3 linked regions of the Xenopus tropicalis genome follow. The protein of the gene in region 3 interacts with the protein of the main gene of each other region in a biochemical or structural test. Links are inferred from orthologs where the notes say so. Each region holds a gene or a part of one and is shown on either strand. Other genes may lie near its edges. The genes, in order: sh3gl1, sh3gl2 and dnm1.

The links.
Region 1: the proteins of dnm1 (region 3) and sh3gl1 form a complex in vitro, tested with the Homo sapiens proteins (2 studies listed by BioGRID and IntAct, with this or other methods). The link is inferred for Xenopus tropicalis from reciprocal best matches to the Homo sapiens genes DNM1 and SH3GL1.
Region 2: the proteins of dnm1 (region 3) and sh3gl2 form a complex in vitro, tested with the Homo sapiens proteins (2 studies listed by BioGRID and IntAct, with this or other methods). The link is inferred for Xenopus tropicalis from reciprocal best matches to the Homo sapiens genes DNM1 and SH3GL2.

What each region holds. Positions count from the first base shown.
Region 1 is NC_030677.2:93,850,756-93,857,384, forward strand, and holds the start of sh3gl1 (endophilin-A2), read left to right. Parts: upstream 1-2,704; 5' UTR 2,705-2,741; coding exon 2,742-2,786; intron 2,787-6,629. UniProt on the Homo sapiens protein: Implicated in endocytosis. May recruit other proteins to membranes with high curvature.
Region 2 is NC_030677.2:118,223,930-118,230,632, forward strand, and holds the start of sh3gl2 (endophilin-A1), read left to right. Parts: upstream 1-2,814; 5' UTR 2,815-2,847; coding exon 2,848-2,892; intron 2,893-6,703. UniProt on the Homo sapiens protein: Implicated in synaptic vesicle endocytosis. May recruit other proteins to membranes with high curvature. Required for BDNF-dependent dendrite outgrowth.
Region 3 is NC_030684.2:22,789,742-22,796,318, reverse strand, and holds the start of dnm1 (dynamin-1), read left to right. Parts: upstream 1-2,178; 5' UTR 2,179-2,352; coding exon 2,353-2,513; intron 2,514-6,577. UniProt on the Homo sapiens protein: Catalyzes the hydrolysis of GTP and utilizes this energy to mediate vesicle scission and participates in many forms of endocytosis, such as clathrin-mediated endocytosis or synaptic vesicle endocytosis as well as rapid endocytosis (RE).

The sequences.
Region 1 (6,629 bases), on a different chromosome or scaffold from region 3:
TGCTGTGTCGTTGACACTGCATAAACTTAGTATGCTCTCTGCTGCTGTTGAGAAGCCAAGCTTAAGTGGGCCATTGGAAATTTTCTTTCATAAAGTTGATGCAACAAGAATGAGTATTGAATACTGATGCTGCATCCACTGGTCTTTCAGCTGCCATGTACTTTAAATCTGAATTATTTACTTTGTACTGTAACTTTTATATCATATTTGTACTATATATATATTAAGTTGCTCCCTAAGTTTAGAGCATGTGCTGTGAATCAGCAGAAAAGAAAAGTAGACTTGATTTAGCTGAGCCATCTTTGCCTCTACTGAGTGGGTCATGAAATTCTGAATCCTTTATTATATGCAGTGAGAAAAAGAAGGTGGGGCACATAATTTATCTCTGGCTATTCTAACTTAGTCCTTACAATCTGGCACTGGAAAGCCTAATGGCTCTACTACAAAATTAGTGTAGATTTACACTTCTGTAGCAGTATGTATTTAAAGGAGAAGGAAAGTCATTTTGGCATTTTACTGCTAATAGATTTGCCACATTAGTGCCACCTAAAATGCTATATTTATTTTGCAGAAAACTTTATCATACCTGAGTAAAGGGCCCTAGAAGCTTTCTCTGATTGCAGCTGCCATTTTAGCATGGTGTTCTTAGCTTCCTGTTTGCAGTCTAGCCTATAGCTAGCTTAGATCATACATTCCTGAGGGTGGGGGGAGTGAATTTTAGGAATTCTTATGGGAGGGGGGAGCAGGAGAGGGAAGAGTTGTGCAGACTCTGGCTCTGGGAATGAAGGATTTTTCTGAGAGAGGAAGTCAGATACCCTAACATGTTTACAAAAAAGGAGACAAGAAATCCTGTGTTTCTTTTGATAGTGCAGCATTACTGTAAGCGCTTATGGCAGTATTTACATAGACCTTTCTGATAAAGCTTACTTAGTTTTCACCTTAACTTCTTGTTTAAACAGGCCTGCATCAAGCCTTTTTCTTACAAAAGCTAAATTGTACTCTCCTGCCTAACTACGACCCTGTCTCTATTTCACCTGTAGCCTCGAAATTCCTGAGATGTCTTATGTTTTCTTTTCTTTTTTTCTTACTAACTTTCTTTGTACCCATAATCTGCTGGTCTGATAGCTGACCTGTGCACTCCACTGAGATGGCCTTATGTAGAGTTGCAAAGGATCTTCAGATTAACAAAGCCAAAACATAATACAGGTATGGGACCCCTTATCCGGAAACCCGTTATCCAGAAAGCTACGAATTACGGAAAGCCTGTCTCCAATAGACTCCATTTTAATCAAATAATTTAGAATTTTAAAACTGATTTCTTTTTTCTCTGTAGTAATAAAACAGTACCATGTAATTAATCCCAATTTAGATATAAATAATCCTTATTGGATGCAAAACAATCCTATTGGGTTTAATTAATGTTTTATTGATTTTCAAAAATTCAGTCGGATTTGGGACCGCATCGGCTCGTTGATGCGGTCCCCGAACTAACTGGGCCTATTCCAGTTGTTATAATTCGATTGTTTGGCCCCAGGGCCAAACGACCGAATTATCCTAAATTCCCCCGATATCGCCCATCCGTAGGTGGGGATATCGGGAGAAGATCTGCTCCCTTGGCGACCTTGCCAGGTGAGCGGATCTTTACGTGTATGGCCACCTTTAGTGTGTGGGTGCCTCATTGTTCTGTTCTCAGCTGTCTGTTGTTTCTCTGTGTTCATTCTCTTTTAAGGAAACCTTATCTCTTCATTAGTACTTAAATATCACTTATACACAAATGACATACAGATATATTAAGACATTTTTCAACAAACCGATGCGGTCCCCAATCCGATAAAAAATGAAACATGCTTGATCAAGATCTGGATGATTTCAGGCCAGATATTGGTTGGGCAGGCCCATCGTCATTGCCCCTACATGGACCGATAAGCTTCCGAATTGGTCTAAGGGACCGATCTCGGTAGCTAGAATCGGCCTGTGTTTGGCCACCTAGGTGGGGATATCGGGTGAAGATCTGCTCGCTTGGCCAGCTTAAAGGTCCCCATACACGGCCCATAGTAGAAAGATCTGGCCTGAAATCGGCCAGATCTTGATCGGGCAGGCTAAAAAATCTAGTTGGATCGGCTCGTTGATGCAGACCCCAGACCAACTTTACCTATGCCCGTCATTATAATTTGATCGTTTGGCCCCAAGGCAATTATCCTGCATTCTCCCGATATCACCCACCCGTAGGTGGGGGATATCGGGAGAAGATCCGCTCGCTTGGCGACATCGCCAAGCGAGTGGATCTGCCAGTGTATGGGGACCTTAACAGTAGACATACTATTGAATTCAAAACACAGCAAAATAACTTACTAAAAGTAATCATTCACTGTATTTTTTTATTCACAGTGACATTACTTTTTATTAAAATAGAAAAATACCACTTGTTATTTACATAAAATATAATACCCAACATATTTGTTTTAATTAAATAATAAGACGTGCAACATTAAAAATAACATATTTATCTTGATTAAATAATATATGCCCCTGGAATCAAATATAATGATTTATTGTTCGCAAACTGTGCTCATAGTTAAACGCAACACTTCAAGATTGTGCCTCTGCTATCCTCCCCCGTTTCCTGCCTTATACCGGAAGTAAGCGGTTGCCATGTAATATCCTGAGAGAGGAGCCTGGGGAGAGGCTCTACAGTTTTGTCCGCGATTCCTGTAGTCCTGCAATCTTAGTGTACCGCAACAATGTCTGTAGCCGGGCTTAAAAAGCAGTTTTATAAAGCAAGTCAGGTGAGCGCTACATGTATTTTGAAGGCAGATGATGTTAACTGCGAAGTCTTACTTTTGAAGTATTCAAACTGTGTCCCCGGAGACACCAGCTCTGTGCATTCTTTTTTGTTGGGTGAGGGCTTGGGGAGGCGGGATGTACATCTGTATCATGTAAAGTTCGCACTCTAGAGTCGCTTTCGCTTTACACGAATATCGGCATACGTTTGTCTAAATTTGCTTACACAACTTTCGGGACCTGTGAGAATGGAATGTGCATTGTGTGGGAAGAGGCGGAGAAGCTGCTCTAGTGCCGCTGTGTATGCACGTAAACATTGTGTAAAGAAGTCATAGAAGCAATTAAGTCAAAAGATAAGCATACTAACGTTTTAGAAACATATAATGTGGGGTGTTCTTGTTGAAAATTTGTAAATCTATTTGTTGTGTATTCCCTACTGTGCGCTCTACACTCGTGATTTCTGTTAAAGGAACAGTAACATCAAAAATTAAAGTGTTTTAAAGTAATTAAAATATAATGTGCTGTTGCTCTGCAAAAAACTGGTGTTTTTGCTACAGAAAAGCTACTATATAAATAAGCTGCTGTGTAGCCATGGGGGGCAGCCATTCAAGCTGGAAAAAAGGAGAAAAGGCACAGGTTACATAGCAGATAACTAGTAGATAAGCCCAATATAATGAGGGTTTATCTGTTATCTGCTAAGTAACCTGTGCCTTTTCTCCTTTGAATGGTTGCCCCCATGGCTACACAGCAGGTTACTTATATAAGCTATAGTAGTCTTTCTGAGGCAAACACACCAGTTGTAGAAATGCAATGTAACAGTACATTATATTGTCATTCATTTTATACACTTTCATTTTTTGGTGTTACTGTTCCTTTAATTTACAGACTTGGCCAAGAGCTGACTATAAAAAAAGCCAGTAGTGTCCATTTAGTCTTTTCTGGATGTGGGGACATTTTCTTTAATTAGGAGAAAATAGTATTAGAATTTCTTTTTTAATTTTGGTGATAGCATAGGATTGCTGTGCTGCTTTTCATGTTAAGCAACCCAGTGCCCATTAAGGCAGAGCCTACCTTGCAGCTAAAACTACATTTGTGTGTACACTCTTCAGTTTCTTGGACCAAATCTGGTTAATGCCTTTGTATGGCCCTGCCCTCAGGCCAAAGGTTGAATTCCAGTGGAGGCTTGTGCAATCCTGTCATTTTTTAATTATGATAAAAATGTAATTGTTAGCTTCAGAAGCTTTAATATAGTTAATTGGGGATGCCATTTAAGTTCCAATAGGGCTTGAAGGTCTATACACACACACACACACACGCACGTGTGTGTCACATAAACTGTGCCTTATACCATGGGTTTAATGCCTTTATGTAAAGGCAGGTCATATGCCATTTATTTATTTATACCTCTAAAGGATGAATGCATACATTACTTATATAACATGACTGCAATAAATAATTGCAGGTATTGCATAAATAAGTATAATCCTTAATGGAGAAGTCAATATAAACGACTGCATGAGAAATATATACTGTTCTGTCCCTAAGCAGCAGTGTGTCTCGATATCCAAATTTGAGCTAAACAGAAATCTTACATTGACATAGGGGCTGATTCATCAAAGTACGAGTTCAAATCCCGAAATGGGTAAAATTCTGATTAGATACAATAATTTCTGATGAACTGAAATATCACGAAAATGCTTACAAAAAAATCATATTAGTCTTGATAATATCGTATTGGCGATTCAAAAGTCACGAAATTTTCGTATCCGAACAATCATAAACGGCGGGAAAACCTTTCTGACTTTGATCCTTCAGTGCATGTTTTTGGAAGCCTCCCATAGGTCTCAATGGCACTCTGCAGCTCCAACCTGGGCAAAGGAAAGGCACAATACCGAAGCTTTAATGAATCTGAAACTTTCATACTCAGCGCAACAAATACGATTTTGTCGCACAAATTGTCGCACTTTCTGTCACAAAATACAAAAAAGCCATGCAAATTAACAAAAAAAGTCGCAAAAAATATGCACAGTATGAAAACTTAGAAAAAATACTTTAGGGGGTTTGGGGTGTGATTAGCCAAAGACTTTCAGGGAGAGTAAGTGAGCCAAATGGTGGCTAACTACTGCTATGAAAGGCTTCGCTTTGTTCCACTGGGTCACAGATATGTAAATAAAAAATGTATTATTCATTATAAGTTGCATTAATATGAATACTATGGGGCCTATTTATTAAAGTACGACAGGTACGAAATAAAAAAAAATTGTATTTGATTGTACTGTGCTTATTTTCTGCGACTTTGTCGTATAGTTGCGCAAATTTTTCGTACTTTGTGACAAAACTTACGCAACAAAATCGTATTGTCGGCCCGAGTACGAAAGTTTTGGATTCATTCAAGCTTCGGTATTGTGACTTTCTTTGGGCCAGGTTGGAGCTGCAGAGTGCCATTGAAGTCCAATGGGAGGCTTCCAAAAACAAGCACAGAAGGATCAAAGTCAGAAAGGGTTTTCCCGCAGTTTATGATCGTTCGGATACGAAAATTTTGTGACTTTTGGATCACCAATATGATATTATCGTGACTAATATTATTTTTTCGTAAGCATTTTCGTGATATTTGCGATCATCAGAAATTATCGTATTTTATCCTAATTTTTCCCAATTCGGGATTCAAACTCGTACTTTAATGAATAGACCCCTAAGTGTGGAAGCTTTAATCCCCATTAAAATTGATTCAAGTATTTTCACTTTTAGTGTTAGTGGCCCTGTAATTTAAAGTCTTAATGCCCCTTTTTTTTTTTCTTAGGGCAGTCACACACACACATCCGTTGTCGCGGATGACTAATCTCCCCGCAATGCCATCCCACCGGCTAGAATACAAATCACCGGTGGGATGGCATACACAACGCCGCGATTTGCTGAAGTCGCCTTGAGAGGAAACTTCGGGAGACTTCGGCAAATCGCGGCGCGACTAATCTCCCTGTGTACCCCTGCCCTTAAATATTATTCTTGTGGTAGGTTATGTAAAAATTATCAGTGTTTTATGCAAGTGCTATCTAGTAATATTAAGAGAGATACAGATGTGAAATATTGCACAGCTAGCCAAAACTGAAGGTACCATATTTTCCGGCGAAAAATCTGGGTTAAAGTCGGGGGTTGTCTTATACGCCGGGTACTTGCTTGCAGGGCCCCCCCAGCGTCCTCCACCACCCCTCCCGCTCGCCTGATTCATCCGGCTTTAAAGGGATCGGCTATATCCACCACCCCTCCCGCTTGCCTGCTGCTTCCTCCGGCTGCTTAGGTTGCGCCCTGTGCATACGCGTCACGTCAGCGCGCACGGGGCGCAACCTAAGCAGCCGGAGGAAGCAGCAGGCGAGCGGGAGGGGTGGTGGATGAAGCCATTACGTTTAAAGCCGGATGAAGCAGCCGGAGGAAACAGCCGGACGCAGCAGGGGTGGTGGAGGACACTTGGGGGAGCTGAAGTATGTGGGGGAGGATGTTGGGGGGAGCTAAAGTATGTGGGGGAGGATGTTGGGGGGAGCTAAAGTATGTGGGGGAGGATGTTGGGGGGAGCTAAAGTATGTGGGGGAGGATGTTGGGGGGGAGCTAAAGTATGTGGGGGAGGATGTTGGGGGGAGCTAAAGTATGTGGGGGAGGATGTTGGGGGGGAGCTAAAGTATGTGGGGGAGGATGTTGGGGGGAGCTAAAGTATGTGGGGGAGGATGTTGGGGGGAGCTGGAGCATATTGGGGAGGACGCTAGGGGGAGCTGGATGATGTTGGGGAGGACGCTAGGGGTAGCTGGATGATGTTGGGGAGGACGAGCTTTAGGACGCTGCGGGGGGGAGATTGAGGA
Region 2 (6,703 bases), on a different chromosome or scaffold from region 3:
CAATTTTTAAATTCATTTTTAAAATAGTTAAAATTGTGCCCCCAATGGCCCAATAGACAGCACCCCCATAGACAGTGCCCCCCATACACAGTGGCCCATTTGCACCCATAGACAGCAACGCCCATAGACAGTGCCCCCAATTGACCCCATAGACCGTTCCCTCAATTGTCCCACAGACAGTAGCCCCCATACACAGTGCCCCCATAGAAAGTACCCTCCGTACACAATGCCCCCATAGAAAGTGCCCCAAATTGCCCCCATACACAGTACCCCCATACACAGTAGCCCCCAATTGCCCCCATAGAGAGTACCTCCAATAGAAAATCCCCCTATACACATACCCCCATACACAGTAGCCCCAATTGCCCCCATAGAGAGTACCTCCAATAGTAAAGGCCCCCAATACACAGTGCCCCCCATAGACGCTACTTCTTGTGGCTCCTGTTCCTTATGCGGCTCCTGCTACGGCGGTGACAGGCCCTTTTATAAGGTTGCGCCCCGTGCGTACGTGTGACATCACACGTATGCACAGGCGCAACCTTATTAAAGGGCCTGTCCCCGCCATACGAGGAGCAGAATAAGAAGTAGGAGCCACAGGACTTGACGGAGCCAGAGCGCTTGGCTGCAGCCAGCGCATCCCGCTGGCCTGGATAGTTTAATGAATGTTCTGCATTTTCGTACAGACAGCGGGATGCGCTGTAAAAACCGGGACTGTCCCGCGAAAAGCGGGACAGTTGGGGGGTATGTTATATAGGGTGGTACAGATGTTGCTGGGACTCCTGAACAAAATGATGGCATGGTGCTATAAAGAAATATACATGTTGGAACCCCTCAGCAATTCTACTTTTGCTTGTCCTTTAACTATGACATTGTTTGGGTTTGAATAGCCTTAACAGAAACTGTATATAAGTGCATGCAAATTATCTGTAAATGAAAATCAAATTAATACAGACATACTGTATGTCCCTGAAAATAGCTAGACCCCAGTGCACCTGAATGTGTTCCATTACTGGCAGTTCTATCTACATACGGAGCTGCCTACAGTATGGCAACATACCGTATACTGTATTGGGATGGGGGGACACTTTAGCGCAGGCTGCAGATAAAGGCGAAGAAAGATTCTTTGCACATGCACTAGGGGTATATTTACCATTCTGTGTAAAAAGTGGAGTGAAACATTACCGGTGATGTTGCCCAGGGCAACCAATCAGCAATTAGATTTCAACTGCTATGGCTGCTATGAGCAACATCACCGGTAATGGTTTACTCCACTTTTTACACAGCATGATAAATATACCTCTAAGGAAGGGATGTATAGTAGAAACCAGTATTTATTAGCAATCACAGGGGTGGCCACTGATCAGCTAGGGATTTCATCTGTGGGTACTATACAGGTGACAACGAAGAACCCCTATTTTTCAAATCTAATTTTCCCCACCCTTTTTAACACCCAGTAGATAAGCGTTCTAAATGTACAGTATTGATATGAACTATAATTCCTGGAAATGTAAGTCCAGCATTATGCATGTTACAAGCAATGTGTGACAATTATTTAACAAATATTGAACCACTACAAAGTAATGTTTTATCACACAGTCACCTTTCAGCATAGTTCAAGCACCAGTAATGTAGTACACACGTAGCACAGGGTGTTTCAGGTTACCCTACACTGTTATGGGATGCCTGTGCAGTGAAATTGTCACATCTCTCTGGGGACCTCATCCTACTATTTCCAGTACACTAGCTCTCTACTGTATCTTGTGGTTAAACATGTGCACCTTGCAATAGCATTTTTTCCCTTTTTTACATTAAGTTTATTGAATTATTTAACAACCAGAAACAGTGAAATGACAAAGATGCTATGCTTATGATTATGCTGTGAGGTTTTGCCCCCTAGAAGAGCCCAAAGCATAGTAAAGTGCCCAAGGCTAATGGTCAGTTAGTTTGAGATTTGGGGAGTGCTAACTTGCTTTCCTAGATATCCCCTAAAGCCTAGACTGATAGCCAATGAAGGTACCTAATGTAATTGATTTACTGAATATTGTTGTAAATATAGTAGAATGAGTGATATGGTTCAACAAATGTATAAGCTAAGTATTAGCTAAGCAGGGCTTGAACCCAAATAATTTGAACATTGAACAGCAGCATCAAATTTGGGAGTGGGGGACAGACTAGAAAGACATTTAATTTAAAGAGAATGTAAGTTTTAGTAGACTTAAGATAGGAGATCCAAATTACGGAAAGACCCCTTATAAGGGATACCCCAGGTCCAGTGCTTTGTGCTTGGCAGTGATGTATGCATTGGGGACAGACAGCTAAAAAAAAAAAACTGTGTCACAGCCGGGCCCCCTTTAAAGCGAGGATATCGTCCGGGCCGGCACAACAGTACCCCCTGTGCCCCACTGATGGCGGCCCTGCACTCACATACATAAACTATATATACAACCACTAATACTAACTGTAGATATTAGTATCACAATAGCCTTGGATATTCTGATTGTTAAAGAACTCATCCAGGCCCCTCTTAAAGGCATTAACAGAATATGTTTCCTATCTGGTTTTATAGCGAGAAATATTTGCACCCAGAAGGTGATAGAATCCCCTGATGCGCCGCCACTTGGGGGAGGCCCCACACAGGGGAGGGCAGGTGGGAGGAGCCAGGCGGGCTGCCTGCTGACGTCACGGTGTCCCTGCATTAAGGCGGCAGCAGCATCACAGGATTACTGCCATCCGAGCAGGAGAGGAGAAATTCCCTTGCAGTCCCGAGCGAGGCCGGCCATCTGCACCTCTCACCCGGACACCAGGCAGCAACAACAGCAGCAGGAGGGGACCCGGCCATATTGCAGCATGTCGGTAGCAGGGCTCAAGAAGCAGTTCCACAAAGCCACTCAGGTAAATCAAGCGATTTCATGGCTGCAGCCCCCTGTCATTCTGCAGAGGGGTCCTTCCCTTTTCCCTGTCGCCCTGGCTCTTGCCTACATTATTTTGGGAACAACGACTATGACACGGATTCATCTGTTCAGCAGGTTTCGGGGCATTTGTGCAAGGCGAGCAGCGCTCTGGCTGTGTAAGGGTTAACCCCCAGGGGCATCTCCAGGCTATTTTTATCGCTGCAATTGTGATTTGTTGCTATATGGAGTGTGTGCATCAATACATCTGATTATATGGGTGTAATTGCTAGAAATCCCCCCCTCCCCCCCATAATAGATGTAAATACTAGCGCAGGATCCGGGGGTAGGCTGGAATTGATACTCTGCTTTCCCATAATATATATCCCATGGGAACCCCCACATGACTGTAGTAAGGATGGGGCTTGGTACCCCACTGGCTGACTGATAACCATGATACACACAATAAAACTTCAGCATGCCATGGGTTAAACAAAAGACAATGCCAGCTGTCATGGAAATCCAGGTCAAAATGAAATGTATTGAGGTAACTCAGTAATCTGCCTCATCTTTGTGGTTTTATTTCTATGGTGATGCACAGGCAGTAAATGCAGGGGAAAGCTGTGATCCTAGCAATGGTGATAAAATGCAGCAGGGTTATCTCTCTGTCTCTGTGTTGGAGGCGTGCAGCAGCTCTCCTGTGTATCACAGCACACTTGGATAAAATGGAGATTAGGAGATAGGCACAGCATAGAGGGATTACTAACTGCTGAAGCCAAATCATGATCTTAGATTTAGGATTTACATCAGTTTGTCTGCAGTCAGTGTTCACACAGAAATTCTCCCATAGAGGTCACCTCCTCATCCCTACTGCTGCCTGCAGCCAAAAGCTCCATGCAGAGCTATCTGATATCAGCTGCATTATTAAACAGGTTGGGGAGGTCTCCTCTCTCTCTCGGCTCTTCTGCAGGAAGGATGTGATATTGCAGTTCTGTTTTTTTAATCCCCTCTCATAGGGACACTAGGACATGATTTCAAAGTTACCTTTAATTAGGGAGTTTAAAGCCTCTATTATTGCTATTGTTTGCCTCAAGCCTTTCACTGTATATGCCGTAATTTTCAGCATCACGTATAATGACTAAAGCAATATGCTTTATACCTGCTGTGTAATAGCATTTCTCATTAGTTTTTGCACATTACCTGGTTAAGGTTGCTACCGGCTGCTATTACACATACCTAGTTGGTAAAATACTGACTCTGCCAGTAAACCTGCAATACCGGTTCTGACCTTTGTCATTTCTAGTAAATGTAGACTCTCCTGTAGGTACACCACCAGCCTGCCCAGTTATGCCCCAATCAGGCCTATTTATTTGCCCTCTTACAACCAGCTTCCCCTGATTCAGGAAAAGTTATTGCTATATTTTATGCTTGCTTAATGGAATCAGTTTCTTGGATTCTTGGTGACCTAATTTACTTGCTCTTTGGCAAACAACAAAATCTCACACTTGCTTTTTTGGAAGGAATTCTAAATATACTTTCAGGATCAGAGTTGCAGGGCTCCAACAAAAAGCCCATTTTGTATTATAATAAAAGGAGTAATGTGATGACATAACCCTGTTAAATGCACCCTGAATTAATCATCCAGGGAGCAATAGAAAACTTATCTTTGCACTCAGTGGAATAAATACCATGAGAGAAAGGAATACAATCTGCACCAGGATCTGCCCCCCAGCCTCCCAATGGCCCAGAGCCCTGCACATCCAACAGTGGCATATATAGTATCTGTTCTTAGAAAAGGAATGCAGGGGCCCTTCCCATGTTATTTTCCTTAAGTAGACCAAAATATTTATAGGGCAACTAGCATAAGGCAAGATATGACCAATATTATGTACAAGGCTGCTGTACATGCCTGTAGGTACAGATGACCTCTAAGGATTTAGTCCCCTATTTTCATTGCTGGTGGCATCACTGGGCATGCATGATCTGCTCTAGTCACGAGTAATAACTCCAGCATGCAGGCCACACTGAATACATGCATTGCTTCTGTCACTAGGAAAAGAGCTGACACAAGATGAAGGAAAACTTTTCATTCATGGCTCTTCATTGTCATAGGGCCCATGTACCCCTAGGCTGGTACGACTCTTTTAAGACAAGTTGTGAAGCCCCCCTCGCCCATGTCTGAGTGCAGGAGTGGTGGCAGAGGGGGTTCTCAGTTCGAAGATAGGAAAAGAAGCTGCCTTGGGGCTGGTATGGTAAAACCTAGGCATCTAGTACATTATTTACCAAGTGTTGATTTCTGTCATCTGTCACTACATTTTATTTTATTAGAAAGCCTGCCCAAATGCAGGGGTCAAGTGTAGACACTGAAATTAAATAGTTAATAGCTGATCCATTATTGAAAAATATTTTAGAAAGCCCTTTAATTGTGACTACATTTGTATAACTGTACATCAACTTCAACCAAGTTGCATTGCACAGTCTGTTTTTATTTGGTGTGGGTTTTAATATAAAATATTCACTGGCTGAAATTCATATGAATCTTCGACTGTGTTGTGGAAGGTTTGTAAACTTGAACAAAATAAAGGAATAAAAGGTTTAGAGGAGTTTATCTGAAAGCTCCAAGGGTAAAATTCATCAATAAATTTTTTTTTGGTTCAGTTTTCTTGCTGAATCAGCAAAACAGCCGACATGCAGTTTACTTTTTCCTGATGGGAAGGTTAAATTAACAGCACATCAATATCTGAATGACTGAATTACTTTCCATCAAAACCCTACTGACCCATGAGTACATCTCTAAATGTATAGTAACATTCTTAAAGGAGCAGGCACCTTTACAAACATAATTTCATTTACTACACCATACATAATGTCTTCATTTTGTAATGTATTATAAAATGTAGGTTTTTAAAAACAAATTAGTTTTATTTTCCTCCCCCATTTTAATTTGTTAATTAGGTTAACTGCCTTTTAAACTGTTAATGTTAAAATTAGATACATTTCTCAGGAGCATTTGAAAAATGTCAGCAACAAATGTAATAGTTATTATGTTGCAGACTAAAAGCCCAGGAAGTATGCTTCAAATGTAACAACTAATGTATGAAATTGTAGCAGTTTAAAGGGTTGGCAGTCTGGTTAGCAGAGCTGCTGGTGGAAAACATAGGTAGGGAAAATTAAACACATTTAGTGCAAAATCAGTATGTTAACTGCTGTCACACTGCTCATTGCTATAAACCTAGCTGCCAGTTACTACAGGTCACTTTCTCTGGAACCCAACTCACACATTGCATCAGTATTCACAGTATTTATTCTTTTATTTGTCTCTCCAGACCTCTTTGCTGCCAGAAGCAGTAACCTCTTCCCTGCTTGACTTTGTTGACTTGTCTTGTATGCTTGACTCTGCTAATATGATACTTTGTCTTTGCTTTATAAAAGGCCTTGGCGGGGTTACACCAGCCTCTTTTCCAGTAATATTGTGTGCACCTGTTTGTTCTTTGTCTGTTTCATGTCCCTGCAGCCCCAGACCCACTATATGTCATTCTAAAACTCACCCACTGCTTCCCAAGTTCCCTGTCCAGTTACAGAGCCCATAATCCCATGTGCTGTGGTTGGCTTCCAACTAGGAGTTTCTATCTTGTTCTAATGCCTGCCTTGATTCTCTCCTACATGCCAAAACATGGCCCTTGATAAAACTGTCCATAAGGTGTGTGGCCAAAGTGCCTTGTATAGGGCAAGCACTGATGTGAGTGGTGTATGTAACCTATTACAAGATATATGGAAAATGCTGGTGTTAAATAAGCAAAGGATAACAATAATAA
Region 3 (6,577 bases):
TATGCAGAGAGATGGCAGTGAATGTCACACAGCTGATGGTGTGGGTGGATTTAGTTAAATTTCATCTGTTAGATTTCTTTGTGTTGGTTACTTAAGAGTTAGAATATAATTTTCTCCTTCCTTATAATAAAAAGTGCAGCATGGGACCTTTTAACCTTTTATCCAGAATGCTTGGGACCTGGGTTTTTTTTGGATAAGGCATCTTTCTGTAATTTGGATCACCATAAATTTAGCCTCCTATACAATAATTTTTAGTTTGACGTAGAGAATGCTATTCTAATAAAAATTGTAATTGTTTTTATTATTTGCGATTTTTGACAACTATCTGGTTGCTATGGTCCAATTTGACCTAGCAACCAGGCAGTGATTTGAAAGAGAGACAGGAATATGAATAGATGAGGACCTAAATAAAAAGATAAGTAATAAAAAGGAACAATAACAATACAACTGTAGCCTCACAGAGCAATAGTTTTTTGGCTTCTGGGGTCAGTGACCCTCATTTGAAAGCTGGAATGAGTCAGAAGAAGCTAATAATTAAAAAAAAACTATACAAAATAAAAAATGAAGACCAATTAAAAAGTTGCTAAGAAGAGGCCATTCTATAGCATACTAAAAGTTAACCTGACCACCCAGTAGGATTGTTTTGCCACCAATTCATGATCTCTTTCTCAGGATAAAGTACAAGGGAGTCTATGAACGATGACCTTCCCATAATAGTTTTTGGATATTGGGTTTCCAGATCAGAGATCCCATACCTGTACCTACCTAACAGTAGGATAAAGGCAATGACAGGTACATTGTGTAGGTAATAACCCTATAGAACAGGGGTAGGGAACCTATGGCTCGAGAGCCAGATGTGGCTCTTTTGATGGCTGCATCTGGCTCGCTGCCAACTCTTTAATAAAATAAATAACGGGGGTGTGGCCTGCGCTCGGCGGATAGAAGATATGTTCTAAGCCTTAGAACACATCTTTTATCCACCGAGCGCAGGCCACACCCTCCTCCGCATCCGGCATCCTTGGGACACACCCTACCTTGCCCCGCAGCATCCGCGGCCAAACATATTGTATGGCTCTCGTGGAATTACATTTTAAAATATGTGGTGTTTATGGCTCTCTCAGCCAAAAAGGTTCCCAACCCCTGCTATAGAATGACTCCATTGTAAGAATGGAGGGGGAGAATAGTACATATGCTGCAATCTCAGCTTCAGCCAGCAGGTGGCACTAGCAGGCCAGTTCAATAAAAGCTGTCTCAGAGCAGGCATGTAAATTTATACATCACATATTTGCCATGCATGGCAGATGGGTATTATATCTGTGCCTGTATATAGTACATAACATTTATATATGATGCTGAATCAACACTCCCAGTGAAATCCCAGGAACAGAGCACTCACTTCTGGGAAGGCAAATCCTGTCCTTGTTCGGATCAGATGCTGAAACATTTTTACAACAGTATGGAGAGGAAGGGGGTCATTTACTTCTTCAAGCGTGCCTAAAAATTTGATTACTGGTGGCACAAAAGCTGTTAAAGGGTTACATAAACTCATGTGCAGAAGGAGTGTAGCAATCAGTGAGTGCTGGCTTATACTTCCTGCCTTGATTTGGAGTGTTTTTGATGAGTCCTGGTATAATTAGGGTTGCCACCTTGTTGCTATTTTACCAGTCTGGCTGGTAAAAATTATGCTTGATCCCCATGTTATTAATGGAGAAACTAAATACATAGAAAATATATTTTACCACAAAAGGTGGCAACCCTAAGTGTAAGAAGGCCCCTATATTGAATTTCAGGGTTAGTAATAGGGCTCCCCCTAACCCGGCTTTTTATACAATATCTGTTCCTTTCTACATCATCTGGGGCTAAAGCTTTCTTCCAGTTCCTGGTGTACCAAGAAAGGCATATTTGCACATGAGCCACCTTTGTTGACAGCATTGCTGCAAGTGACAATCTGTCACTACACAATCCACATTACACTTTGCTGCACCCTTAGCGCATACTCTTTAGCATGACGCTCCCTCTAGTGGCGGAAGAAGCAAAATGCAGTTAAAATCCCACCCCCTCATCATCCTGTCAGTGCTGCCTTAGCGCACACTCCTTAGCATTAGGCTCCCTCTTGTGGCAGCAGTTGCACATTGCCGTTTAAATCCCTAAGGAGCAGCGTATGCGCTTGAGTTGGCAGTCTGGGGAAGGCGCAGAGCGCACATCCAGGAGGAGGAGAAGCAGGAGAACGTCGATCTTAGGGGGTCCTACACATCTGTCCCCGCTGCCTTTCTCTGTCACTGGGGAAAAGGTGTAAGAAGCATATTAGATCGACGTTCCCAGGCTGAGGCAGACACAAGGCAGCCTTCCATCATGGGCAACCGAGGAATGGAGGAGCTGATTCCTCTGGTTAACCGGCTTCAAGATGCCTTTTCATCCATAGGACAAAATGCCAACCTGGACCTGCCACAGATCGCTGTGGTTGGGGGTCAGAGCGCTGGAAAGAGCTCGGTTCTGGAGAATTTCGTTGGCAAGTAAGTAAGGAAGATGATGGCTCACCTACCCGCATTATAATAACCTAAGGAGATGAGGAGGGGGGCAGTATAATATGTTTATTAGCAGATATCATTCAATGGCGACTGGGCTTTATTTGGCATTTTATTATCGCGATCTGTTGCCTAGAACGTTTTATCGCGATCTGGTCGAATAGAATAACGATGAATAATGGATATGTGTGCAATCTGAGACCCAAGGGTAGGATTCACCTTGTCCAACAGGCACAGCACAGAGAGGGGTCATCAGATATGGCATTGTCCTTGTACAGAACAGGCATTCCATGGCATCGCCCAGCAGGGCATCCTGGGGGTCCCTGACTGTATATTATTAGCGGGGTACCTAGGATGCATGGATATAAACATGCTTTATAGGGGCGAATGGAGAGGAATGGAGAAATAAAGATGGGGGAGGTGTTATAGGATACAGTGTGTCTCTTCTGCAATGAAGGAAGGGGGAGGGGGGGGAATTATAGGACCAATGTTATCAGTCTGCTTATACAGGGGGTAAATATGCCTTGATATAAAGTCCATATACAGCCCATTGCTGTACAGAGCAGAACTAGGCAAATACATGATACAAAGATGAGGGATGAATTGAATGAAGCCTTTGCGTTAAGGGCACCTTTAACTGGCACTGCAGTATTATTTGTTTTTGGGCTAAGACATAGGACGTCTGTCTTTTGGGGCTTAAGGCACCTTTCTTTTTTAGACCAAGCAGTTGCCCCCCCCCCCCTTCCTACTTAATATAAGTATCCTATTTAAAATAAATAAAGCGCCCTCTATATCAATTCTAATGTGACGGCATTTTGTTTACATTGACAAATACATTGGGACTCCTTCCAGCCTGCAGAGACATATGGAAGCTATCTATCATCTATCTATCTATCTATATATCTATCTATCTATCTATCTATCTATCTATCATCTATCTATCTATCTATCATCTATCTATCTATCTATCTATCTATCTTTATATACACACACACACATGGAGTAATGGCTCAATGGATCTGCCAGGCTGACGCTGCAATCATTATGTGTATTGCTTGGTTGTGATGGGATATCCCTGGTTGGTGCATTAGGCAGTGATGGTGCAGTTGGACTGGCGTTAATCAGTTGCAGGGAGTGCTGGCTCCTCAAGGTGACACTGGGAGTAGTAGGCACCGTCCCTATGTATTTGACTGAAGGGGTCAGATGGAATTGGATACTGACATGGGAAAAAGGTGCAGGGATTCTGCACTGAATAAATATTTTGTCTCTGTTAAACAGGATGTGCCCCAGAGCTTTAAACCTGAGCAGGAACAAGGCTATGCTGTACAATTATCATATTACATAGCCTTAAAGGGGAACTACAGCCAAATACAATGTCTTTATCTAATTAATGAAAAAGTAATTCTATGCAACTTTTCACTGTCAGTGGTTTGAAAGTTATATGTAAATGCAATAGCCTGTGAAAAGAAGGAAAAGGGTTGCTCGTTGGGGGGGGGGTTAATTTGTTAGGTGTCCCCAGTGAATGTATTGGGTAACCTCAGACCCTGGGCCAGTACTTCTCATTGCTGAAAAATGCCCGGCCTGTTGAGTACAGTTGAGCTGCCATCTTCTGTCTTGCCCCAGGGATCCATTGTGGCAGCCCTGAGCAGTCACAACCAGCAGTGCAGAGAATATAAACAGCCACATCCACAACAGAAGGTTTTGGGTTAGAGATTCCAAAAAAGGTCTTGGGTTGGAAATGTCCCTTTAATTAGTAATGGCAAATCAGATGCTGGGTGATTAGCCAATAGCTATGTGTTGCGCTTAATTACTCTGCTACCTGCTTTACACTAGCAAAGCCTCCAAATGAACTGTAGGGTTAAATGAGATTACAGGCTGTGAGCGCAGTCTCTGGAGAGAGCTGGAAGCAATAAGGGATACCAGCTGCTCCTGTAACCAGCAGGAGATTTGTGCTTTACCCTGGCTGTATAATCTCTATGTGCTAAGGACGTGGGGGGTTATTTTTTTTTGGGGGGGGGGGGTGTAATAGGCAAATATATATTTTATTTGATCTAAATAAAATAAGTATCTTTTTTTGATTAAATGTTCCTGGTGTGCATCAGCATTTTTTACATATTTACATTGTTTATCTGATTTGCACCCAGGTTGTAATCCCTATAAGTGTGTGCCTCAGCCTTTTTCTATATATATATATATATATATATATATATATATATATATATATATATATATATATATATATATATATATATATATATATACTGAGATATCTAATTAGGGAGGTCAATATAAGGGCCAAACAGTTGTAGGAAAAGGCTGGGGGCATAGTGGGTAAAGAGGAGGAAGGCAGCAACCTTTGGGGGAGGCAGATGGGCCACTGACTGATACAAAATGAATAAAGTTTTCTTATATAAAGTTCCCAAGGGGGCAGTAACTTCTAGGGATGCAGCTGATGGATATAGTAAGAGAAGACATGATGGCAAAAAGACCTTTCAGTCTGTATCCCCTCAGCCGCTGTTGGCATTACAGCTATATGCAGACCAAGGCTTTCTGGGGGGTAAGATTCTGGGATTTGTAGTTGGACAGTAGCTGAAGGCCTATAAGCTAGAACCGAGCAGTATGTGCTTTGCCAGCCTTGTATTCATATGTATAGACAATGCACAGCACTTTGTATGTTCAGCCATTATGATAGCGTATATTGGTGGTAGCAAAGTGTAACTAGTGGGTGCTAATTTGTTAGACATTCACTGTGAATATTGTCACTTGGATCTCAAACTGTTACCCCTCTCCCCTGAAAAAAAGCACCAGCACAGGGTAGATTTCCTTTTTGTATCTATGTATTTTAGCAGAGTTATTCTGCAGGAAGAATGGCTTACTTCCATGTGGGTGTAGCACCCCCACACCTGTCCCTTTAATGGTGGTCTTATGCCTTTAAAAAAATGGGTGTTGGATAATGGGCAGTCTTCTCCTTTACAAGCTGCAAGCCTGTAGGACCAAACTGTGGTCCTGGCAATCTCTCCCTATAAAAGCTGAAGGCATGGGAGTGACTACGCCCTCTGACTCAAACCAGCCCCCAGGTCAAGAATGGCAGTCTTTGAAAAATATGACCAGAGGTAAATAAATGGACCACCATAAATAAATAAATGGACCACCATACTGGGTTTACCTTAACGTGGTATGGTGGCTTACCAATCTTATGATCATAACTTTGTAACTAAAACCCCCTGTTTTTTGTAAATACATGCACTAGCATAGACAATTTAATTATGAAACAGGGGACCAGGGAATGTGCATTGATCAATCCCCCTCTCTTTTTGTATGCTTGTAGATTTCCTCTAAGCACTGCACTGTCACGGCAGGGTCCATGGAACTCTTGTGGCTGCCCAGGGCCATTTACATGCATAGTATAGTAAAATCAGCAATGTCATGGGTCAGGGCCCCAATACTAAGAGCATGGTTGCTTCCATGTTGTACCAAGAACACCCAACCCCTCTAGACCATCATTTGTGTTTCTTGCAGGCATCTGCTTGTCAATAACATGCATGTTCTATCCCTTTAATTACGTGTTTCATGGTAGCACTGACAGATTTACCCTTTGTGTCCATTACTGTGACCCTCATTTACTAACAAAAGTGCATAGTGCCCCCCCCCCCCCCCCCCCCCCCCCCACAGTTCAATAACCCATATTAACTAATCAGGATCAGTATTGTGCAGTTTATATGTTGCTGCAGTGTAAATGAAACCTGGTGCCTGGTAGAAATAACCAGTTTGGCATATGATTGCCATAGAAACAAGTAACATGATGCAGATACGCTAATGACATCCCAGTGGAGGTTCAATATGGGGGACCTTACCGTCTCCAGCAATGACCTCTGTACCCATCTATGTCTAATATTGGTCCCTCCACAGATTTTAGAATATATAAAGGGTGCAGGATGCATATTTACAGCCAAACCCCACATTTAACTTCCTGCGTTCCCATAGATTCCATTGGGTGCTTTTCATCTTCTTTTCCCTCATTTTGCACCAATATTTTGTACGAGTTTTCTGTA